Linked DNA regions of Macaca fascicularis. The protein of the gene in region 3 binds, or shares a complex with, the protein of the main gene of each other region. Links are inferred from orthologs where the notes say so. Each region holds a gene or a part of one and is shown on either strand. Other genes may lie near its edges.

The links.
Region 1: EXOSC8 (region 3) and EXOSC2 share a complex: the UniProt entries of both Homo sapiens proteins name them as parts of the RNA exosome core complex. The link is inferred for Macaca fascicularis from reciprocal best matches to the Homo sapiens genes EXOSC8 and EXOSC2.
Region 2: EXOSC8 (region 3) and EXOSC6 share a complex: the UniProt entries of both Homo sapiens proteins name them as parts of the RNA exosome core complex. The link is inferred for Macaca fascicularis from reciprocal best matches to the Homo sapiens genes EXOSC8 and EXOSC6.
Region 4: EXOSC8 (region 3) and EXOSC4 share a complex: the UniProt entries of both Homo sapiens proteins name them as parts of the RNA exosome core complex. The link is inferred for Macaca fascicularis from reciprocal best matches to the Homo sapiens genes EXOSC8 and EXOSC4.
Region 5: EXOSC8 (region 3) and EXOSC5 share a complex: the UniProt entries of both Homo sapiens proteins name them as parts of the RNA exosome core complex. The link is inferred for Macaca fascicularis from reciprocal best matches to the Homo sapiens genes EXOSC8 and EXOSC5.
Region 6: EXOSC8 (region 3) and EXOSC3 share a complex: the UniProt entries of both Homo sapiens proteins name them as parts of the RNA exosome core complex. The link is inferred for Macaca fascicularis from reciprocal best matches to the Homo sapiens genes EXOSC8 and EXOSC3.

What each region holds. Positions count from the first base shown.
Region 1 is NC_088389.1:13,185,575-13,189,832, forward strand, and holds the start of EXOSC2 (exosome complex component RRP4), read right to left. Parts: upstream 2,801-4,258; 5' UTR 2,780-2,800; coding exon 2,658-2,779; intron 493-2,657; coding exon 391-492; exon of another isoform or gene 378-390; intron 1-377. UniProt on the Homo sapiens protein: Non-catalytic component of the RNA exosome complex which has 3'->5' exoribonuclease activity and participates in a multitude of cellular RNA processing and degradation events.
Region 2 is NC_088394.1:70,113,694-70,117,945, forward strand, and holds EXOSC6 (exosome complex component MTR3), read left to right. Parts: upstream 1-1,452; 5' UTR 1,453-1,492; coding exon 1,493-2,311; 3' UTR 2,312-3,762; downstream 3,763-4,252. Other genes in the region: AARS1 (alanine--tRNA ligase, cytoplasmic), read left to right, coding at 20-133, 476-661. UniProt on the Homo sapiens protein: Non-catalytic component of the RNA exosome complex which has 3'->5' exoribonuclease activity and participates in a multitude of cellular RNA processing and degradation events.
Region 3 is NC_088391.1:16,553,999-16,557,136, reverse strand, and holds the end of EXOSC8 (exosome complex component RRP43), read right to left. Parts: coding exon 3,045-3,138; intron 1,883-3,044; coding exon 1,762-1,882; intron 1,170-1,761; coding exon 1,063-1,169; intron 715-1,062; coding exon 599-714; 3' UTR 501-598; downstream 1-500. Other genes in the region: SUPT20H (transcription factor SPT20 homolog), read left to right, coding at 98-235. UniProt on the Homo sapiens protein: Non-catalytic component of the RNA exosome complex which has 3'->5' exoribonuclease activity and participates in a multitude of cellular RNA processing and degradation events.
Region 4 is NC_088382.1:153,749,584-153,753,247, reverse strand, and holds EXOSC4 (exosome complex component RRP41), read right to left. Parts: upstream 2,517-3,664; 5' UTR 2,409-2,516; coding exon 2,238-2,408; exon of another isoform or gene 1,921-2,237; intron 1,207-1,920; coding exon 1,000-1,206; intron 909-999; coding exon 549-908; 3' UTR 501-548; downstream 1-500. UniProt on the Homo sapiens protein: Non-catalytic component of the RNA exosome complex which has 3'->5' exoribonuclease activity and participates in a multitude of cellular RNA processing and degradation events.
Region 5 is NC_088393.1:48,537,984-48,541,953, forward strand, and holds the start of EXOSC5 (exosome complex component RRP46), read right to left. Parts: upstream 2,801-3,970; 5' UTR 2,736-2,800; coding exon 2,588-2,735; intron 1-2,587. Other genes in the region: BCKDHA (2-oxoisovalerate dehydrogenase subunit alpha, mitochondrial), read left to right, coding at 3,233-3,340. UniProt on the Homo sapiens protein: Non-catalytic component of the RNA exosome complex which has 3'->5' exoribonuclease activity and participates in a multitude of cellular RNA processing and degradation events.
Region 6 is NC_088389.1:61,537,498-61,541,555, forward strand, and holds the start of EXOSC3 (exosome complex component RRP40), read left to right. Parts: upstream 1-1,258; 5' UTR 1,259-1,294; coding exon 1,295-1,618; intron 1,619-2,301; coding exon 2,302-2,451; intron 2,452-4,029; exon of another isoform or gene 4,030-4,058. UniProt on the Homo sapiens protein: Non-catalytic component of the RNA exosome complex which has 3'->5' exoribonuclease activity and participates in a multitude of cellular RNA processing and degradation events.

The DNA.
Region 1 (4,258 bases), on a different chromosome or scaffold from region 3:
TCCCAGCTACTTGGGAGGCTGAGGCAGGAGAATCGTTTGAACCCGGGAGGCAGAGGTTGCAGCGTGCAGACTGTGCCACTGTACTCCAGCCTGGGCAACAGAGCGAGACTCCGTCTCAAAAAAAAAAAAGAAAATCCTGTGAAGTAGGCCATGCTATTATACTCACTTTGCAGAGGAGGTAACCAAGGCTTGGAGTGGTGACATAACATGGGAAAACCTCTGAAGCCTACACTGATCTGCACCACCCCACCTACAGTCATGGTCAAAACCTCAGACTTACAGCATGACAGGGCAGGCAGGGGTGGGGTAGGGGATATGGAGGGGGCAGAAAAAGCCTGGTTGTACAACCTGGATGCCGCAAGAAAGGGAATACACACCTTTTGTTCTCACCTGGTTTTCAAAGCTTTCACACAGATCAACTTGTTTACTCTCTCCACAGAGCCAGCAACAGATGCAATGAGCTTCTCTTCTCCCATATACGTTCCGTGGCCCCTGATGCAAGGCAAAGGTACAAAGAAAGGATACCAGGGTAACTCGAGGTGACCTCTCTCCTTTCAAGAACAATGTGTTCCTCAAAGCTAACAAGCTCCCCCTGCAAAGCCTGGCTTCTGTGCTGGCTGCTTCCTCTGCCTTCAGTGCTCCTTCTCCAGACTGGCTACTTGGAAATCACCCCTCTCACTCAGGTCTGCTCAGGTGTCACTTTCTCCAGCAGGCCTACCTTGACTGTGCCATTGAAAACACAGCCCACCCCGTTGCCACCACTCCCCCACATTCCATTGACCCTGCTCCACGTTTTTCCCCATTGCATTATTGCCTAACATTCTCCGTTATAACTCCACCAGGACAGAGATTTTTCACTCTGCCGTTATATCCCAACTGCACAAAATATAAATATATGTTGAAAGCATTAACGAAAGAATGAATCTTAAGATTTCCTGGCCAGGTGCGGTGGTTCACGCCTATAATCCCAGCACTCTGGGAGGCCGAGGTGGGTGGATCACGAGGTCAAGTGTTTGAGACCAGCCTGACCAACATGGTGAAACCCCGTCTCTACTAAAAATACAAAAATTAGCCGGGCATAGTGGCGTGCGCTTGGAATCCCAGCTACTTAGGAGGGTGAGGCAGGAGAATTGCTTGAATCCCAGAGGCGGAGGTTGCAGTGAGCTGAGACTGTGCCACGGCACTCCAGCCTGGGCGACAGAGTGAGACTCTGTCTCATTAAAAAAAAAAAAAAAAAAAATTTCCTAGGGGCTGGGCATGCCTGTACTCCCAGCACTTTGGGAGGCCAAGGTGGGCAGATCACACTTGAGGTCAAGGGTTCGAGATCAGCCTGGCCAACATCGTGAAACCTCATCTCTACTAAAAATACAAAAATTGGCTGGGCATGGTGGCAGGTGCCTGTAATCCCAGCTACTCAGGAGGCTGAGACAGGAGAATTGCTTGAACCCAGGAGGCAGAGGTTGCAGTGAGCCGAGATCCCACCACTGCTCTCCAGCCTAGGCGACAGAGAGACTCCGTCTCAAAAATGAAAAAAAAATATTTCCTAGGATCCACTAGCCTTAAACTAACAGGTTAAAGGGCAATGCTATGAATGCTGTGCCCCTTGTATAGATACATGTACAGAAAAAAAAGGTTGAAACGCTAGTGTTATCTATGATGATGATATAATGGCTGGTTTTACTTCTTTTCTTACATAATTATCTCATTTAATCCTCATTACCGTATCATACTGTTATTATCACTATCTTACAGATGAGGAAACTGACCGTGGAGAGGCAATGCCGCTAATAAGATGTGATGGTAGCTGGACTGGAACCCCAACTGTCTGACTCAAGAGCCTGCCCTCGGCCGGGCGCGGTGGCTCACGCCTGTAATCCCAGCACTTTGGGAGGCTGAGGAGGGTGGATCACCTGAGGTCGGGAGTTCAAGACCAGCCTGACCAACATGGAGAAACCCCGTCTCTACTAAAAATACAAAAATTAGCCAGGCATGGTGGCACATGCCTGTAATCCCAGCTACTCGAGAGGCTGAGGCAGGAGAATCGCTTGAACCTGGGAGGCGGAGGTTGCAGTGAGCTGAGATCGCGCCATTGCACTCCAGCCTGGGCAAAAAGAGTGAAACTCTGTCTCAAAAAAAAAAAAAAAAAAAAAGAGCCTGCCCTCTTAACTACAACACACTGTACTGCACCCCTTGGATTCAAAATGTGTATAAATGGGTGCAGGCAGCACAATGTAACTGTTTGCCCTAAGCTCGAACAATTACGGATTCTAAACTGAAGAGGAGGCGGCCAAGAACACCCACCGTCCCCTCAGAGAGCTGAAAACTGGAAAGAGAGCCTGCGCCTAAACCTCCCCGGTTTTCCAGGTCTCCTACAAGGAAGGCTCCAAGATTTGGACTTCAGGCAGAAGACCCAAAAGTCACAGCCACCAGAGGTCAGGAGTGGAGGGTTTCAGGGAGCTGAGACAAACGCAGAAGGGGACACACAAGACGCAGGGGGCAAGAAGCGCGAGGCTCGGAAGCGAGGCGAGTAGGATGCTCAGACCAAGTGCCTGGGGTCCCGCGGGGAGTTAGACACACCGGGATACGAGGCCTGGACCACGTGCAGAGAGCCCTGAAGCCGCTCTATGAAGCCTCGACTCCCCCAAGTCCCCACGTACCGCATGAATCCCGTGTCCGTAGTGATTGTGTCCCCCGGCACCACTAGATGTTTCTTAGTGTCGCGACCCAGTCTCTCGCTAAGAGGCTTGCGAGCCGCTGGAAGCCTCATCTCCATCGCCATCTTGGCGCCAATGAGTTGCGCAGGCGCAGCTCAGCCGGGAGCCGCGATATCCGACTCCGCAACTCCTGGCCGCGTTCGGAGGGGCGGGGAAGGGCGGGGACTCAGAGCAGCTGCCAATGAGAACTCACGGTCTGGAGGCCATGTTTACAATTGGCAACACTAAGGCGAACCCGAAGGGAAGGGAGCCGAGCTGCCATGTTTACTATTGGCAAGGGAGCACCCGTGGAATAATACAATCTCACGTTGTGTGGGGTGTGACTTTTTACCAAAACTGTCTTGTACTCACCATCCCATTTATTGTTTACAAGAGTTAGCGATAATTGAGAAACGGACCTCTGAGTTTCTGTCCGATTCTAAGCTGCTGAAATCCGGTATTTTCTAAGAGAGAGCTCAGGAGGATGGAGAGATGGGATCTACAGAAAACACTATTTGAACAGAGAGAAGAGCCCCCGTCCACACGGTTCCTAGTAGCCCCAGTATTCTACATTGCTGCCGCCCCGTGGGTGCTGGCTCAGCATCATCATCTATACCTCCAAACCGGGCTCCAGATACTTCTCACTTGGTTCTGTTCTTTCATAAAGACTTCTTTAAGCAAGCTAATTTACTCCAATATTTCTTTTGGAAACAAGTTAAAAATCGTCTAACAGTATAGGTCAAACCTTGCAAGCCAGGTATATTTGGTAGGGAAGGGAAGTGCACACATAATACGAAGATGGCTTGCATTTAGTTACACAGCGAGTTGAGTGCTCTGTGTGTGCCAGGCGCTGTTCTAAGGATTCAGCAGGGAACAGACATGTCTCTGTGGGTTTTGCTGCGGCTCCGTTTTAATAGGAGCGTACCCCTCGCCCCTTCTCCCGTTCCCCACTACCGTCTCCCTCTCCTTGCCCTACATTCACAACAAACTAATTGGGAATGGTAATTCCCCATGCACAGGGACTCTAAAGAGGATTAAATGAAATCATTTACATCAACTGTGGTCAGAAAAGCAGGTAAACCAAGTCTGCCTCCTGAAGAAAGATCCATCGAACCAATTGTTTTATAAATCTCCAAAGCGACAGCATTTCTTCCACTTAAGCAAGGCGCACGACCACACTTAAGAAAGTCAGCCCTGCCAGGCAGTCCGTGACGTGAATGCTAGTGCCCCAAGGCCCTAGGTAAGTGGGCGGCCAGACCCTCGCCCTCCGCCGTGCTTGGAGGAAGGCGCTAGAGCCCAGCCCCTTGGTCCAGTACTGCCGGGGCCATAAGAGGGCGATGGTGTCCTTTGAGCCCGCGTAGCCCGGCGGCCAGGAAGCCAGGCCCAGCGAGCGGCCCTAGGCGGAGCGAGAGTGTAGTCCTGACACCATCCAAGTTCTTCCCGGGAGGGAGAGACGCGCACTCTCACAGCGTTCACATTCACGGAGCCTGTCGCAAGGTTGGCATTGTGGATACCAGTTTATGGAGGAGGAAATCGAGGCCCCAAAAGGAATGGAATTCACATTA
Region 2 (4,252 bases), on a different chromosome or scaffold from region 3:
AGCCATGTTCTCCCCACAGGCCCTGAATGAAGCCTTGAAGCTCTTCAAGACACACTCCCCTCAGACGTCTGCCATGCTCTTCACGGTGGACAACGAGGCTGGCAAGATCACTTGCCTGTGTCAAGTCCCTCAGGTCAGAACCACCTTGCACCAGTGGGAAGTGTTGGGTCTTAAGCTTGTTTGCTGAGGCCTGTGTGTGTACAACCTGCATTTAAAAGAGCCTGTCTCCTGCCTGCCTGTTGGTCACCTTTGCCAGTACCCCTTACCTAGGCCTCCTCATTGGTTGCATCTGTCTGGTTGATACTTGGCTTTGCCACTCTGTCCTGTCCTGGCAGGGGCCATGACTGCCCCCTGCACTAGCCGTAAAGTCTGTCTCGGCCTCCAGCAGTATCACCCAGGGCAAAGGAGTGGGTGATGGCTCCTCCCTCAATCCCATTTTCTGTCCTGACTTCCCCCTTCCCTTTCTTTCTTCTAGAATGCAGCCAATCGGGGCTTAAAAGCCAGCGAGTGGGTACAGCAGGTGTCAGGCCTGATGGACGGTAAAGGTGGGGGCAAGGATGTGTCTGCACAGGCCACAGGCAAAAACATTGGCTGCCTGCAGGAGGCGCTGCAGCTGGCCACTTCCTTCGCCCAGCTGCGCCTCGGGGATGTAAAGAACTGAGCGGGGGAGGAGGTGGCTTCTACTGGCTCCATCTGTCCAGCCGGGAGCTCTTCATCTGCTACAAGAACATTTGAATCCTGGGACCTTTTGAGAGCCCCTCCTACCCCGGCCGTACCTGGAACACCCTCACGAGCAGTCCTGTGACTCAGCGCCCCTTATACTTCTGCCCTGAGCCCTCCACATCAGTGCCATCTGTCGAGAACCACTACCCCCGCATTGCTGTTGATCACCACACTCGCATCTGTAGATAACAGCTCTCCAGCCTGAGCTTTCCGTGTCAGCAAGGACGAATCGTTTTTTGCTGCAGAGAATAAAAGGACCACGTGCAATACTTAATGCTATATGATCTCTATCCCTCTTCCCAGGTGGAGCTCGCTGTTTTGACAGCCCTTGGCCCCTGCTGTCTGTAGAATAAATGCTGTGGCTTCTACTGGCTGCTGTAGTGTTCACCTAGTCCAGCCCCAGAACCCTAAATTTTGGGAAAAGCCCCTGGGGTTGCCTCAAACGTTTGTGGAGGTTGAGGCCAAATAGGTAGGGTGACATGGAGCAAGGCGTTCATAATTCAGTAGATGGGGTTAGTGGAAGCAGAGAAGCCTTGGAGCTGCTCTCCCGCTGCCTTCCAGCAGGAGGGATGGATCAGGCAGCCCTGCACAAGTGGGACCAGGGCGCCAGGGACGCCGGCCGTTCTCCCTCCGAGCCTCCAGCAGGCGCTGTAGCGTCGCCCGTCACTCTCCCGACAGCCCTCACGCAGGCGCGCGTCTTTAAGCAACGGAAGAACCAGTGGGTGCGGCAGTGCGTTGGGCGGAAGCGGCTCTCAAGCCAGGAGCCGCCATGCCCGGGGACCACCGCCGCATCCGCGGCCCTGAAGAGTCGCAGCCGCCGCAGCTGTACGCGGCCGACGAGGAGGAGGCGCCCGCCGCCCGCGACCCAACGCGACTGCGGCCCGTGTACGCGCGCGCCGGGCTGCTGAGCCAGGCCAAAGGCTCGGCCTACCTGGAGGCGGGAGGCACAAAGGTGCTGTGTGCAGTGTCGGGCCCGCGACAGGCCGAGGGAGGCGAGCGCGGCGGCGGCCCGGCCGGATCTGGCGGCGAAGCCCCGGCCGCGCTGCGCGGTCGCCTGCTGTGCGACTTCCGCCGCGCGCCCTTCGCGGGCCGCCGGCGCCGCGCTCCCCCGGGCGGCGGCGAGGAGCGTGAGCTGGCGCTGGCGCTGCAGGAGGCACTGGAGCCGGCCGTGCGCCTGGGCCGCTACCCGCGCGCGCAGCTCGAGGTGTCGGCGTTGCTGCTGGAGGACGGCGGCTCGGCCCTGGCCGCCGCGCTCACCGCCGCCGCGCTCGCCCTGGCCGACGCGGGCGTTGAGATGTACGATCTGGTGGTGGGCTGTGGCCTGAGCCTCGCGCCGGGGCCCGCGCCCACTTGGCTGCTGGACCCCACGCGACTAGAGGAAGAGCGCGCCGCCGCGGGCCTCACCGTGGCGCTCATGCCTGTGCTGAATCAGGTGGCCGGGCTGCTGGGCAGCGGCGAGGGCGGCCTGATCGAGAGCTGGGCGGAGGCCGTACGCCTGGGGCTCGAGGGCTGCCAGCGCCTCTACCCCGTGCTGCAGCAGAGCCTGGTGCGGGCGGCGCGCCGCAGGGGCGCCGCCGCCCAGCCCTGAACTAGAAGCCTGAGCAACGACGGACGCAAGCCGAGGACCGTGCTGCCGCCGTCCCTGAAAAGACCCGCGCCGTCGGCCTCCAGCCTGCGTCGAGGTAAGCAGCCGGAGCCCTGGAGAGCACCTGGGTAGGCTCTAGCAGAGCCAAGGCGCCGGACAGCTGTGGTGTTGGAAAGGGTTTTTACAAACCTCGTTAAAGGAACTTTACTTGAGCCGGCTCTTAGCTTCGACCCAGTTGAGGAAACCTGTGAGCGCATCCTGACTCCCAAGTTGGAAACTTTAGCTGGACTTACCTGGAAGCTGGTACCTAGAGCTGCTGTCATTCAGGCCAGCCAGTGACCCCCTCCGATATAACTGGGCGACTTTTCAGAGGATGGACAAGACGACTGTGCCTTCTGTGTCTGAGCCAAAAGAAAGACCCTTTTATATTTGAAAAACGTCTTATGGTGTGGTTCTTCTTGGTCCGGGATTTAAGAGAGCAAGGCTCTTTTGTTCTTGCATCCCAGGTGTCAAGGGTCGCGGCGGCATTGCCTTAAACGGGTTCTGTTCCTTAGGCCCACGTGAACAGGAGACGGGCTGAAAAGAGCTGCAGAGCCTGAGGGGAGCGCTGTGATTTGGAGAAGCAGCTGCCCCCACATGAACCAGAGTTAGGGGAACTGCTGAGATACGACGAGAGTAGGGAGAGTTGGCCGGGCCGGCGGCTCACACCTGTAATCCCAGCACTTTGGGAGGCCAAGGCAGGGAGATCACCTGAGGTCGGAAGTTCGAGATCAGCCTGACCAACATGGAGAAACCCCGTCTCTACTAAAAATACAAAATTAGCCAGCACTAATAATGGTGGCATATGCCTGTAATCTTAGCTACTCGGGAGGCTGAGGCAGGAGAATCGCTTGAACCCGGGAGGTGGAGGTTGCGGTGAGTGGAGATCGCACCATTGCACTCCAGCCTGGGCAACAAGAGCAAGACTCCGTCTGAGGAAAAAAAGTACGGCCCCAGAAGTGCGCTGAGTGCACCTCGTGCCCCAACCTGGCTTGGTGCTGGGTAGCTGAAAAGGGTTTTGCTCTGCGTAGAAGCCATCTGTCCTTGGCCATGTGCAGAATGGCACAACCCGAGCCTCCACTGCTGGTGAGAAGTGGCACCCTGGTCCTACAAGGAAGACCCTGAGCAGCACCGCAGAGGGCAGGTGCACTGCTAGGAAGGCCAGGTACAACCTGACTGACTCACCACGAGGTGGGGTCTTTCCTGTGTCGCTACCAGCTCTGCTGGTTTGGGCTCAAGACTGCATGGTAGGAAGCTAGGTGACTGCCATTTGGAAGGCGGCCTGGTCCCCTCTCTGCACTCAGCTTCTCTAGGAAGGGCCGACCTGGGTCAGCCCAAGGACCAGAATGAGTTTCTGGGGCCACACCCAGAACCCCTGACCAGGAAAAATACAAATTTTATTTTTTCCCTTCTGACATAACGTGTCTTTCTAGAGCAGGTCTGAAATAGTATCACACCAGTGGGGAGAGGACATAATGTAATTCTGAAGGGTGACTTCCTAGAGTAGATGGGGAGTCTGGAGCCCAAAGAGGGCTGTGTGGGGTACACACTGAGAACATTCCAGCAGTTTCAGGGAGATTGGAAACTCAGGGAGATCTGCTGGCTATCTGTTGACTGGCGGTGTATCGGGAGGGGAGTGAAGATCAGCTGTGTCTGCATTCAGACAAGGCTGAGGGTGCCCTCTGAGGGGAGGGGAGGGGAGGGGAGGGGTGGGGTGGGGTGGGGGGTGGGGGTGGGGGTGGGGGTGGGGTGGGGATGGGCTGTCATCTGCCCCTTGCAAGAGAGCCTCAGCTTCATGAGGATGGCGACCTGGTGCAGTCCCAGGCCACCTCCTAACCGTGTCAGTCCCAGGACCATCATCTCGAAATGCAACCTCTAAAGAAGCTAAACCCACCACTACAGGTT
Region 3 (3,138 bases):
CTTTTTCAGTTGTGTTGTTTCGTCACTCTCAGGAAAAGCACCTTTCCACACCTGCCTGCATTTAACATAACTCGATTTTTTTCCCTCCCTTTTGCAGCAGTTGCGATTCTTGCAGCATCAAATGGCTATGGCAGCAGCAGCAGCACAAACAGCTCAGCTACATCGTCATCGGCATACAGGCAGCCAGTCAAAAAGTAAAATGAAGAGAGGCACGCCAACCAGTCCAAAATTCTGAGTCTTGCATTATTTTTTGTTCCTTTTTTAAAAACACAAGAGCATTGAATCAAAAGGATTGAGTTTCTACTTTTTGTTTTTTTAATGTGTCAGTCTTTTACATTGCTAGATGTACAAACTTTATACAGAAGCACAACCTTATCATTTTTAAATAAAAACAGGGAAATGGTTTAACAAACTAGGGTTGGTTTGCCTAAGTCATTGCTTTTTAAAAATGGTTTCACTATACATTATATGGAAGTGACCTAAGAAATAATAGAAACATCTTTCAGAAGAATGTAGTTTGATATTTATTTAGTATAAAATGTTTGTGCACAGTGTTAACAAATACAATTTTTACAAATCTGTTTTGAAAAGTGGCTATTTATTTGGGTTTCATACTCTTAATTACTTCATCCATCAATTTTTTAACTTCTTTGTGTCTTGTAACTGCTCGGCTCATGCAGTCCTGAAGTTTAGCTCCAGTTAGCCCGCTTCCACCTGAAAAATTATTTTGCCAATACTTTAAATCTATCACTGCTTTTCAAAAAACATTAATGTCATATCAAATTATGAAATAAAAAAATTGGATAACATAAATCAGGGTACAGTCTCAAGATCTGCAAGTTAGTTTCACAAGACCTCCAAGTGATTCTAATGTATGTCTTAAGTTTAAGAATCACTGACGTATACCATTAAGATGGAAGAAAATTTGAGGTAGCTAAGAAACTACAGTAAACTTAAATTAGGTAAATGAAATATCCCATATTCCATTTGGCCCTCCCTAATTTAAGGCTCACACTGAGTTTTCATCTACATATGTTTAGGACTGAAGTGGCAGGAACATGCCTGGTTTGTGAAGACAACAGAGCTTGCCTTCCTCATCCATTACTATTGTTAAGGTTCCTGTTGCCAGATGTTCCTCCTCTCCAGTAGGGTCAACTATAAGCAAAGTGCTATAAAAAGAAAAAAGTATAAGTTATCAATCCATGGAACAAATTTTACTTTAAAAATACTAAACATACTGTCAGCCTCCCAAGTAGCTGGAATTACAGGTACACACCATCACACCTAGCTAATTTTTGTATTTTTAGTAGAGACAGGGTTTCACCGACTTGGCCAGGCTGGTCTCGAACTCCTGACCTCAGGTGATACCCTGCCTCAGCCTCCCAAAGTGCTGGCATTACAGGCATGACCCACCATGCCTCGCCCTGCTCTACTATTTCTGAATGTGCTAAAATCCTTGGAAAATACTGAAGATAGCTTCAGGTAAATCTTTAGTGAAAGAATTAGAAATTAACATTACACAGGTATAAGTAAACCAAGGAACAGGTAAAGTGAACACAATTATCATCCAAATCAGGATGCTTATGAAAGCAGACAGGTTGACTATAAATAATTGTGCAGGGACAAGTATAAACTCAAGTGTCCAGGGAAAACTAGGATGTAGAGTCAGACTCATAGCACTTCCTGAAGAGTTAGAATGCTGAACATCAATTACCCAAATCTTAAATATAGAAAATTTTAAAGTAAGTTTGATTAACTTACTCATCAAACACAGCAAAGGAAGTTGCAACTGGATGAGTTCTAATATTCAAATAACTTTTCTTCTTTAAATTAACTTCTGCTAAAGCAGTTTCTTCATTTATAGTAACTTCAGGCAACTGTACTAAGAAAAGGCAAATTTGTAAAGTAAGTCTCTAAGAAACAAATGGTTTCTAAGCTTTTTTTTTTTTTTTTTAATTCACCTTTCCCTCGATTGAACTTGCCCAGAACATTTCTTTTTAAAAAGCACCTTACAGCCACTAAGGTAAATACAGAGGATATACATTGCTCTTCACAACATCTGACATGCCTACCTAGTGCTTATTGCATAATTTTTTTAAGTTTAAGAAGTCAAAATGATTTTTTTTTAAATTTTTAGAGATCGGGTCTTGTTTTGTTGCCCAGGCTAGAACTAAATTCCTAGCAATCTTCCCACCTCAACCTCCCCAGTAGCTGGGTGGGACTATAGGCATGTGCCACTGTACCCAGTTTTGAAATGAAAATGATTACTAATAGATAACATGTCTAGCTAATTTGTATATGCCAGGTACTGTTTTACGCATTTCCACATTTTCACTGTATTCACCTAATCAATACTCTTAGAAACTAAATACTATTATCCCTATTTTATTATAGATAAGGAAACTTCAGCACAGAGTGACAGAGCCAGGAATCAAACCTAAGTCTCTGCTTTAACCACTCTGTTACAATATTGTGCTAACTTCATTTTCTACCTCCAATTCACTTAACCACTCTATTATAATATTGCTGTGCTAACTTTATTTTCCACCTCCAATTATTTGTTCCTACCAATTCATCATTCACCAATGATAGGGAATATGCACAAGTTATTGAAATCTGTAACTAATCAGTCAACCTAGACTCCTTGCTAAGAAACTTCACTATTACTATGGCCTCACAGTAAAAAGAACAGAATCCATTCTAATTCTTTTGGCAATATCACATAAAGAACTATGAGGATACTGGCAGATCTTCACCAATGACCTAGCCAGAAGTTACAAGTCTTGTCTCCCTCTCCCACCATTATTAACACTATTATGGAAAGGACTGAAGTCCTAACCTAAGTAGACGGGTACAGTCAAAGCAGCACTCTAAAGAGCATTCAGTTAGAGAATATACAACTATCAACTATATTTGGAAAGTAATGGCAGTATTACATTCATTAATTTGGAAGCATACGAAAGCAAATGTACATTAAAAGTTTCACAAAACAGAACATTCTAACCCATTAGTGGGAATATTGTCGTTTTTGTAAGGCTGCTTACCATTTTTTAAAGCCGCTAACAAAGCAAATGTGCAGGCATCCAAAATGTTTCCATCATAGTCGAGGCAAATGAGATCACAGTATAGAACCCAGGC
Region 4 (3,664 bases), on a different chromosome or scaffold from region 3:
CTCTCAAAGTTCTGGGATTACAGGTGTGAGCCACCATGCCTGGCTGTTGCATTTTTTAGAGCCCAAGGTAAGCAGCAGGAAAAGCCCAAGGGGCTCCAGGCCATAGTCCAGAGGCCATGGGACATGGCCCCCACATCTCTAGGTTGGGTACTCAGAGCCAGCTGAGTTCTCCCTCAGCCCTTTGCTCAGGGCCCCGGATGTGCCAGAGTAAGGGTAACAGATTCCTCAGTCCAATGACCTGCTCATCTTGCCAGGCCCTGCCTCCTGCTCAGCTGCCTTGAGTCCTTACTGGGACATGTTGCTTTTTCCACCCAGGACCTCCCCCACAGCAACCCCCTAATCCACTGTTCTTTTCAGGGTTTGAATTAGGCTACACAGAGATAGGCAGTTCATGTGTGGGCGAGGGGCCCTGGTCATCCCCAGGAGCCAGCACCAGACCAGGCTCTGCCAGGCTTCACATGGCTCTGAAGTGCTATTGGGTGATTAACGTACAGTGAGGGTTGTGTGGGCAGAGGAGGGTTTTATTCTGGACATGGGTGGCTGGGTGGTCAGTCCCCCAGCAAGATAGAGGCCTCACGCACATGCTGCCTGACCACTCTGTCCAAGAGGGTGTGCACATCTCGAGCAGCCTGGGCAGCAGCCTCCAACACCCGCTCCAGGTGGTCCTCGTGCAGCCGGGCATCCATCTCAAGCAGCGCAATCTGTCCTGAGGCTGGCAGCAGGGCCAGGGCCAGCTGGGGGCCACCAGCTGCTTCCTCCACATGGCTGAGGTCCGCCAGGGCTGTGCCGTCCACAAAGCCAGCTGAGCACGCACACACAAAGTCTCTCATGGGTATCCCAGCATCCAGCACTGCCAGTGTGGCCGCATTCACACAAGCTGCATAGGTCCCACCATCTGCCTGTAGCACCTGCAGGGACCCCAGGGTGTGAGTCTATCAGACTCTCTCCCCAACCCCATCACACCCACCCCTCCCTGGATTGACACTGCAGCCGGCTCACCTGCACATAGATATCAATCTGGGAACGTGGGTGCAGCTGTGTAAGGATGGCTGCCTCGAAAGTCTGGCGGAGCTGCAGGCCCATCTCACAGGACTTCCGGTCCCCATGTGGCCGTCGCTTGCGCTCACCTGTGCTGAAGGTCGCTGAACTATATTGACAGTTCACTAGGGCCCTGTCCGGCAGGGCTCGAGCCCGGGAACCCCGGATCTGGAAGAGGACGGACACATGAGCCAGGCCCACTCCTTCCAGCTCACACGCCACTGTCCTCTGTGGGTCTGCCTCTCCCTCCACTTTCAATGCCTCAGCAAGGGGCAACTACATTACCTCCAAAACAAAGCCCCCTGTTTTGCACTGTCTTGCATGTGTTGCCCTCTGGCATCTTTTAATTGGCTTCCTTGTGCCCATCCTTGCCCCATTCCCTGCCAACCCAAGTTTACAAACATCAAGGCTGATTCTGTCTCACCTTCACACTCAAATCCTAATTACCTTACAAAGGTTTCACATTACATATGAAATAAAATCCCAAATCATTTCCCTGGTCTACAAAACCCTAATTCCTCACCTCCCCGGGAACTCTCAACCTTATTTAGAGTTATCCCCTCTTTCCCCACCAGCAGTCTTTCTGTTATGCATGAGTGCCTTGCTTGTTTTCACCACCGTGGTCTTCGCCCTCCTGGTTCCCTCCGCCTGGAAAGCAGAGCTCCTACCCTCATGCGCTAAACAAACACTCTTTCAATACCTTCACTGGCCAGGCACAGTTACAGCGCTGGAAACACAGCAATGAAACCAGAGAGTTTTATGTAGTTTCTGTCCTTAGGAAGCTTATGTTCTAGCGAGGAAACGGGAAAATGCTTAAGCAAAATAGGCATTTGAGATTGTAGATGCACAAAAGACAAGGGTTTATTGTAGGGAGAGAAGTACCGCATGGATAAAGCCGTCTGAGAAGGAGTGACGTCGGAGTAGAGCTGAGAGGAGAGGGAGCGAGTGGGGGAGTGCCTGGCACGTTGAAGAGCCGCAAAGAGGAGGGAGAGCGCAGGCACAGAGACCGATGAGAAAGGCAGGACCACCGCGCAGCACACTAAAGACTTGCGTTTACTCCGAGTGAGATGCAGTGCTGAGCATCGGCTGTGTAGACTGAGGCGCGCCGGCCGCACCTCTCAAGTCCCCGAACCTGTGCTCAGCCCGGCTGCCCCGCAGATCCCGCGGTCACGCGATTCCCATCCCGCACGCCCACTCGCCTCGTGCGGGCCGTAGACCACCGCCAGCGCCTTGGTGTTGCCCTGCTCGATGTAGGCCGAGCCGTCAGCCTGCGCGAACACGCCCATCCGAGCCTGGATCTTGCGCAGCTCCCCGGCGCGCCGACCGTCCACCCGGTAGCCCTGGTCCGACAAGAGCTCCAGCCCCGCCATGCTGCCCGGCCGCCAGCTCCGCTCTCTGCCTAGTTCTCTGATTCGCGGGAGAACTACAGCGCCCTGCGGCTCCGACCTCCCCAAATCTACGGTTTCCGGCGGTCCGCTATCACTTCCGGTTCCGGGGAGCTACAGCTCCCCGCGGTCCCGACCTCCCTGGATCTACGGTTTCCGGCGGTCCGCTGTCACTTCCGGTCCCGGAGAACTGGAGTTCCTCGCGGCACCGACCTCCCTGGATCTACGGTTTCTGGCGGTTCGGCTTCACTTCTGTCTCCGGGGAACTGCGGTGGCGCTGTCGGGGAAGCAGCGGTTGAGCCCGCAGCCGTTCCCGGAGCTGTGTCCCGGGTGCCAGGAGGTGGGCGCCCGCCGAAGGAGAAATTCCCGTCACGCCCTCGGGACCAGTGGTGCCTACATTCAGCCCTTCCCCGCGCCCCAAGTGTGGAAGTGGAAGGATGAACCCAGTGGGTTGCGACACTGACAGGAGAAGGCATAGAGCGGTGCTAGAAAAGTGACCAGGCTGGTGTCCCAGGATGGTCCACACCTGGCACCTCTCCAGTCCTCTCATGCCCTCCCTTTACACCGGGCTTCCACACTGCAGTCGAGTGGGCCTCCCTTTTCCTTTTGAGGTTGCAGATTTCCTCATCCTTTCCAGAGAGGGGTTGTGTGTCTGTTTATCTCTTGCCACTTAACCTCAGCGGCTTCAAATAGCAATCATTCTATTATTATGTCCTGCAGTCTTGGGTTATCTAGGCTCAGCTAGGTAGTTTGCACGTAGGCTCTCTCCTACAGTTGCTGCCAGATGGTGGCTGGGGCTGGAGCCATCCTAAAGCTTTCTCTTTCACATCTTTGGTGGCTGATGCTGGTGGCTGGCCAGGACCTCATCTGTGGCTGTCAGGCAGCACACCTACCTGTGGCTTCTCCATGCTTCCTTGCAATATGGCAGCTGGGTTCCAAGGGTAGCCTTCCAGGACAATGAGATGGACAACATGTGCATGATATTTTTAGAACCTAGCCTCAGAAGTCACATAGTGTCCCTCCTGCCAGACTCTGTGGGTCAAGGCAGTCAGACACATCTACCCAGGCTTAAGGGATGGGGACAGGGACCCCACCCTTCAGTGAGAGGAGTGTCAATATTAGACTGTAGGAACAGCAGGTGGGCTGGGGAAATGCAGTCTGCTGCAGGGGCCCAAGTTCAGCATCCCCTTAGAGGTGGTTATGCTCTCCTGAAAGACTGAGAGGCATGAGAATGAGTGAGC
Region 5 (3,970 bases), on a different chromosome or scaffold from region 3:
AGTGCAGTTGTGCAATCTCAGCTCACTGCAACCTCCGCCTCCCAGGCTCAAGTGATTCTCGTGCCTCAGCCTCCAGAGTAGCTGAGATTATAGGTGCGTGCCACCTCGTCCGACTAATTTTTGTATTTTTAGTAGAGACGGGTTTTCACCATGTTGGCTAGGCTGGTCTCAGAACTCCTGACCTCGACTGGGCGAGGTGGCTCACGCCTGTAATCCCAGCAATTTGGGAGGCCGAGGCGGGTGGATCACGAGGTCAGGAGTTCAAGATCAGTCTGGCCAACATGGTGAAACCCCGTCTCTACTAAAAACTACAAAAATTAGCTGGGCGTGGGAGCACACGCCTGTGGTCCTGGCTACTCGGGAGGCTGAGGCAGAAGAATCGCTGGAACCTGGGAGGTGGAGGTTGCAGTGAGCCACGATCGCTTCACTGCACTCTAGCCTGGGTGACAGGGCGAGACTCTGTGTCAAAAAAAAAAAAAGAATTACTGACCTCAGGTGATCTACCCTCATCGGCCTCCCAAGGTGCTTGGATTACCGGTGTGAGCAACCCATGTGAGCAACTGCGCCCGGCCCCTTCTTAATTCTTAGGTTCGAAGAAACTTGAGGTATCTCAATTCAGCATAAGTGCTAAGCCTGAGGGAGGGTCCGGGAAGGTCCCTGGTTAAGGCGGTATTTCCTGGGATGCCCAATTTGCCCTTACACGGAAGGTGTGCTTAGTTCCAGGAAAAACTGCCCTGAGGACTGGAGAAACCAAAATAGAACTCGCCTCTGGCTCCAGATGAACTGCCTGTGTTTCACCTGAGCACAAGAGTCCCTCCCCTCTCACCTTCTTCAAGACGTGGCTCCAGCAATTCTCTCCCCTGTTGACCCCACAACCATCTTCAATTCCTGCCCCACTTATCTGATCCTCTTACAGCAAAACTCCTGAACAGCTGTCTATTCTTCCTTTCCTGTGACCCCACCACTCCACTGCGGCAGCTCAACATCGTCACCACTGACCTCCAAATGATCAACCCTCCATTGACCCGGCTGTCAGTAAGGCCGAAACAGCTGTCAGCCCTCACATCTCAGACACGCTCTTCTCTTGGCCCCAGGTCACCACCCTCTCCCGGTTTCCCCCTAAGTCTCTGGGCGTTCCTTCTGAGTCTCCTTTAGCTTGCTTGTCACAAGTCCCTGACTGCTCAAGTTGGAAGGCCTAGGGCTTGGTCCTGGGACCTCTTTTCCATCTACACTGACTTCGTTCAGTCAATAGGCTGAAATACCATATATACAGCCAGAGAGTTCCAAATTGCCTATGTCCAGCTTGGGTCTCTCTCCTGATTTCCAGACTTGTACAGATCTGGGCAGAAACCTTAGTTATGCCTGACTCTTTTTCCTCGCACTCAAACCAAACTATAGGTAAGTTTTGTCCGTTTTACTTTCAAACTACATCCAGAATCTCATCACCTCCACTACTCCTGTTCTGGCTGGAGCCACCATCACCTCCCTGTTTTCCCCCATACTCCCCACAATCAACACAGCAGCCAGATTTTGTTAAAATGTATTGGGGCTGGGCGTGGTGGCTGGTACCTATATGAGCACTTTGGGAGGAGGACTGCTTGAGTCCAGGAGTTCAAGACCAACCTGGGCAACATCGTGAGACCCTGTCTCAAAATTTTTTTTTTTTTTTTTGAGACAGAATCTTGTTTTGTCGTGCACACTGGAGTACAATGGCACAATCTTGGCTCACTGCAACTTCTGCCTCCTGGGTTCAAGAGATTCTCCTGCCTCAGCCTCCCCAGTAGCTGGGATTACAGGCGCCCACCACCATGCCTGGCTAATTTTTGTACTTTTAGTAGAGTCGGGGTTTCGCCATGTTGGCCAGGCTGGTCTCGAACTCCTGACCTCAGGTGATCCACCCGCCTTGGCCTCCCAAAGTGTGGGGATTACAGGCGTGAGCCACTGTGCCCAGCCTCCTGTCTCAAACGTTAAAGAGAAATATTCTTGGAGTTAATCTGGTTCTGAGAGTTATTTAGCTAGGGGAAGGGGATATTTGCCCTATAGGTAAGACTTGCCCTAATCTTAGGGATATTTACTCCTGTGGAGAGATGCAGTGAGGTAGCGGTGGGGATGTATTTTTCAACCCAGGGCAGTGACATTATCTTCAATTTGAGGAGTATTTACGTGGGTGAAAGATCCGCCACAGTCCAGAGTATGCAAATTGACAGGTTTGCGTCAGTCCGGGATGCAAGGACCTAGCGGGCGTGTGTGTGGGGCGGGCGGGGGCGGGGGTGAGGAGGAGGAACCTAGTTAAGGGCGATATTTACCCTGGTGAGGTGATTTTCCCTATTCTGAAATATCAATTCTTGCGGGGACGGTCTGCCCCGCCTGTCATTCTCAGACATATTTACAAAGATGGAGCTATCTTCTCCTTTCTAGTCGTGAGGGAGAGATGTATGTATCCCTGCGTATGTAGTAGTATTCAATCGGACAAGAAATCATGTATCAACGCAGGAGTGACATTTACCAGCTGGTATCATGGGGAGATGGGCACTCCGTTGCACGGTACATGGTAGTCCCTCTCCAAAAGACCTGGGTAAGTTCTTACCTTGCAGGAAGGAAGCAGAGCCATCTGGCCGCGACAGCAGGTTCTGTTCGCAGGCAAAGTGCCGGAGGCTGCAGCCGGGACCCCGAGGGCTGCACCCTGTTCCAATTTCAGCGCGGATTTTGGCGTCAGTATGCATCTCCTCCTCCATCGCGCCGACCCCACGTGCGGCTGCGATTATCACTTCCGCCCGGCAGCGCGCGCTGCGAACACTCTGCGTAACCATTGCGCACGCGCTGGGCTCGGCCGTCAGTCCTGGCGTCCGCACGTGGCTTAGCGTTTACCAACAATCTGGCTCCGCCCAGTCCCACCTCCTAACTCTGGCAACGCCATTGGACAGTTGAGAACAGGAGGCAGGCCTTGGCAGTGACCTGTTTTACTCTGGGCCCCCGGGCCCTAAATCCCTGAGGCCGTGGTCAGGTTGCCCTCTTCTTTGCCTGTTACAGGAGTAACTACAATGAGGCGACTGGGGAAAATTTTGGGTAGATAGGTTTTCTTCTCCAAATCTCTGTGCATTCTATCTACAACAGAATGGGAAGAAGGTGATTTTCTTGTCAGATGGTGCTGGAGTTTGTGTCAGGCACATAAAGGGGCAGCCCCGAATCTAGCCTACGTGAGTGCCCTACCGCTGAGTGGTTGCTAGCCAAGATGGCGGTAGCGATCGCTGCAGCGAGGGTCTGGCGGCCAAACCGAGGCCTGAGCCAGGCTGCCCTCTTGCTGCTGTGGCGGCCTGGGGCTCGGGGATTGGCTAGATCTGTGAGTACCTGGGCCCCAGGGGGTTTTCCCAAAGGGGATTAGGGATGTAAAGGCTATCTTCAGAGTGTGGGGTCCCTGAAGGATATGAAGGAAGGGCTGTCACAGAAGGGAAAAAGTGGGAGACCCCTTGGAGAAGACACCGAAGGGAAGATCTGCCACTTCCTTAGAAGAAAAGAACTTCCACTTCTTCAGGAGAGGACAAAACCCGTTTGCAACTTCTTTGTGGGCCCTGAGGGAGGGAGACGACTTGAAGAGAGGGATGGGAGTTCCTTATTTATTTATTTAGTTAGTTTTTGAGGCGGAGTCTGGAGTGCAGTGGCCGGATCTCAGCTCACTGCAAGCTCTGCCTCCCGGATTCACGCCGTTCTCCTGCCTCAGCCTCCCGAGTAGCTGGGACTACAGGCGCCCGCCGCCACCCCCGGCTAATTTTTTTTTTTTTTTTTGCATTTTTAGTAGAGACGGGGTTTCACTGTGTTAGCCAGGATGGTCTCGATCTCCTGACCTCGTGATCCGCCCACCTCGGCCTCCCAAAGTGCTGGAATTACAGGCGTGAGCCAGCGCGCCCGGCCGGGGGTTCCTTATTAACTGCCACTCGTATTCAGGGGAGGTTCCTTGGAGGGACAGGGGAAG
Region 6 (4,058 bases), on a different chromosome or scaffold from region 3:
GGCAGTTAAAGGCCATCAGTCAGTCATGGCCTCCCAGACCCTGGGAACTCTACCACTGCTGGAGAATCTGATCAAGCACTAATTGAAGGTTCCAGTTGACAGAGAAAACAGTGATTTCAAATAAGAACCTCAAAAGTCAGATGATTGGAAGCTCTGTGGATTTGGAATTCAACTGCTTCTCACCTGGGCAACTAAGTGTGCTCCAGGGAAATTTGAGTTACTTATATTCCAGGCCATGCAGGACTATCGCAAGCATGTGAAATATGTATATTTGCAGGAGGAAAAAGTCTAGGGAGAAATACACACCAAAGGAATACATTCGTTCATTCATCAGGCATTACCTATTTCATGCCACACCTTGGGCTCTAAAGAATCAGAACTACCACGTAGCAAGGGAGAAAAACGGGTAAGAATAAAACATCATTTATTTCCTTATTTTATTTTTGTCTGTGTTTTCTAAATGTGACTAGATCTCTAACAACCAAGAAGGTTTTATTTATTTTGAAAAAATATACTTTCCCTGTTAAAAGGTGAGCCACTCTTCTGAGGGCAGAGTCGGAAAGAAGGGTCCAGAAGCCCACCTAGCGTCCGATTTCCTTCTTTTTTTTTTTTTTTTTTGTTTGTTTGTTTGTTTAACAGAGTCTCGCTCTGTCGTCCATACTGGAGTGCAGTGGCGCCATCTCGGCTCACTGCAACCTCCGCCTCCTAGGTTCAAGTGATCTCCTGCCTCAGCCTCCCGAGTAGCTGGGATTACAGGTGCATGCCATCACGCCCGACTAATTTTTGTATTTTTAGTAGAGACAGGGTTTCACCATGGTGGCCAGGCTGGTCTTGAACTCCTGACCTCAAATGATCCACCCGCCTTGGCCTCCCAAACTGCTGGGATTACAGGCGTGAGCCACTGCACCCGGCCCCAGCGTCCAGTTTTCAAAGCCCCTCTGCTCAGCTTCCAGAGATCCCGGGAAACTCTAAGTGGGAGCATCTCGTATCCCCACGATGCGACCGGTCACAAAACACGGGACCCGAGACACTGAAAGTGGAGGCTTCTTGATGGATCAAGCTGCGCAGTTCTCATACCGACCCGCGGCCAGGCTGTAAGACAGGTGGTCGGCTACAGACACAATCACAGCCACCTTGGACAAGGACCCGTGAGCTGACAGCCATTAAGCTTCATAAACTGGTCCAAATCTAACGGACCGCTACCGCCGGAAACGGAAAGTCCTCAAGGGCGGGTGTTGGAAGCAGAGCGGAAGCGGAAGGAGAGTACCGGAAACGGTGTTTGGTGGCGCACGCGATGGCCGAACCTGTGTCTGTTGCGGCTGAATATCTCGCGGGCAGCAGGGCGCGCGCTGCACGCACAGTACTAGGTCAGGTGGTGCTGCCGGGTGAGGAGCTGCTCCTGCCGGAACAGGAGGACGCGGAAGGCCCTGGCGGTGCTGGGGAGCGACCGTTGAGCCTGAATGCTGGAGCGCGCTCGCGGGTGCGCGTTGTATGCGGCCCGGGCTTGCGGCGCTGTGGGGACCGCCTGCTGGTCACCAAGTGCGGCCGCCTCCGTCACAAGGAGCCCGGCAGTGGCAGCGGCGGCGGTGTTTACTGGGTGGACTCTCAGCAGAAGCGGGTGAGCTGGGACTGCGGAGGGGTGGTGCGGCCGTGAGAGTGATAGCCCTGGTTTGAGAAGACCTCCCAAAAGAAGAAGGGATGAGATCCTGAGGCCCTCTTGTTCAGGCAAACCTAGAGCCACCGTAGTCTTGTGCCCACTTCTGCATGTCCTTTAGAGGGACCGTGAACAATAGGAACATAGCCTGAGAAGGGCGACCAGGAGAGAAAAACGTTTGGAGACCGTGAGTCATGATTATAAAGTCTTCAAAACTCCAAACGTCAGGGAGCAGCAGGCTTGCCCATTCAAGTCTCAGAGGGCAAGACCAGGCTCAATGAGTGGATGTCATAGGGAGTTAATTTCTCCTAGAACAGGTAAGAACTTTCATACAGAAAAAAATTGTCTAACTATGGAATGGGCTTCCTTGGTTGTAAGGATTCCTTTGCCACTGAACTTATGCCACAAAGCTAGGAACTTACTGGTTGGGGTGCTGAAGAGATAATGGGGTTTGGACTCAATTAACAGACTACCAGAAGCTGCACACCTGACACTTTATGATGTGATTTTCTTTTACCGAAAGTGGCATATGATCAGATTTCTTTCTCTTTAATGACAATAAAGTAACCACGAAGGACGTGCTGAAGGTATCTTCCAATGGTATCTTCTCATTTATGGATGTTTTCTCATTCTATTTCCTTTTGTAGTATGTTCCAGTGAAAGGAGACCATGTGATTGGCATAGTGACAGCTAAATCTGGAGATATATTCAAAGTTGATGTTGGAGGGAGTGAGCCAGCTTCTTTGTCTTACTTGTCATTTGAAGGTGCAACTAAAAGAAACAGACCAAATGTGCAGGTAATTATGGGAGCCTTTGGCTTCAAAGTAAGAAACATCCCTTCCCTAGAACACTCAGATATCCAGAAGGCTACCTGAATTGTCTCCGAAGTATGACCTAGATCTTTGAGCATGTATATAATTGCCCCAGGCTCCAAGAGTTTCTTCAGATGCTGCAGGATCAGAGCCACATAATTTTTTTTTTTTTTTTAACATTTACAATTTATTTTACATTGGCTACATTTGTTCTTGGGATGTTTCATTTCTACTGAGTTGAAAGGTTGTATCTGTCATCACCATTATTTGTTATGTCCATATCCTCGGGACAAGGATGTCTGCTGTAGGCTTAGAGGAGTGACAGGTGGTGCAAATTGACATTATCAGCTATCCATCCATCCTGGCTGTAGGTCCTAGAGCTGATAGAGGAGTAATACTGTTACCTTGGGTTTTCAGGTTGGGCTTTTCAGGTAGCATAGCCACACGCTTCTTGTCTATCCAGCCCGAAATCTAGTGATGTCTTTGCCTCTTCACATTTACTTCTCATGCAAATTTATTTGCTTAATCTTATTTGATTCTGTCTCTGATTTTTGGCATGTCTATCCCTTTATCTCCACTTTGCAAGTTCAGGCTTTAGCTCCGTCTTGACTGGTCTCAGTCACTTCTTCATTAATCCTTGCCTCCACGCTTTTACCTCACCATCCAGGGTTTTGAGAGCTGACATCCTAACACAGTTACTTTCTCGAAAAGGAAAAACGAGATTCTCCAAAATCCACAGAATTCCTTGGCATTACACTCCAGGTGTCTTTCCTCATCCCTAATTATATCCTTCATACAGCCATACTCTAATCACACCAAACGCCATTAGACTCAATTTCCTGCCCTTATTCCTTTACACATGCTGTTCCCTCTGTCTTGATTGCACTATCCCTTCGCAGCCTGTGGAACACATTCTCATCCTTTGAGACCTAGGCTAAACACGACCGCCTTTGTAAAGCCATCCCCAGTTGTGACTTTTCTCATATTTTTGCTCTAGCACTTACTGGATTTAGCCTCGACTGAGGTTTGTTTATATGTACCTCCCCACTGCCCTCCAAGACCAAATGCTTCTGAAAAGCAGAGAATGTTTTGTTCCTCTCTAGTTTACATAGTCACCAACAAACAGTGGGTACTTAATATGTTTTGAGTGAACAGAATTGAGTTCACTCTCCATTTCCTCAGTTTCATCCCTTTAAGGTTTAGCTCTATGAGGTTTTTAAGTAAATCTTGCAGGGAGAAGTGTCAGTGAATTATTGTTTTGTTTTGCTTTGAATAATTTGCATGCCGGAGTTCCTCTCTGTAAATTGTAATTCTCTAGGGTAGTGCCACCTAACATAACTTTCTACAGTGATGCTGTTTTGTATCTGCACTGATTAGTATGGTAGCAGTTGAGCACTTGAAATGTGGCTAATGCAACTCAGGAAATTAATTTTAAATATCTAATTTTAATTAATTTAAATAGCTGTTGAGCACTTGAAATGTGGCTAATGCAACTCAGGAAATTAATTTTAAATATCTAATTTTAATTAATTTAAATATAAGTTTAAACAATTGGCTACCTACCATATTGGACAGTGCAATCCTAGAGGTGT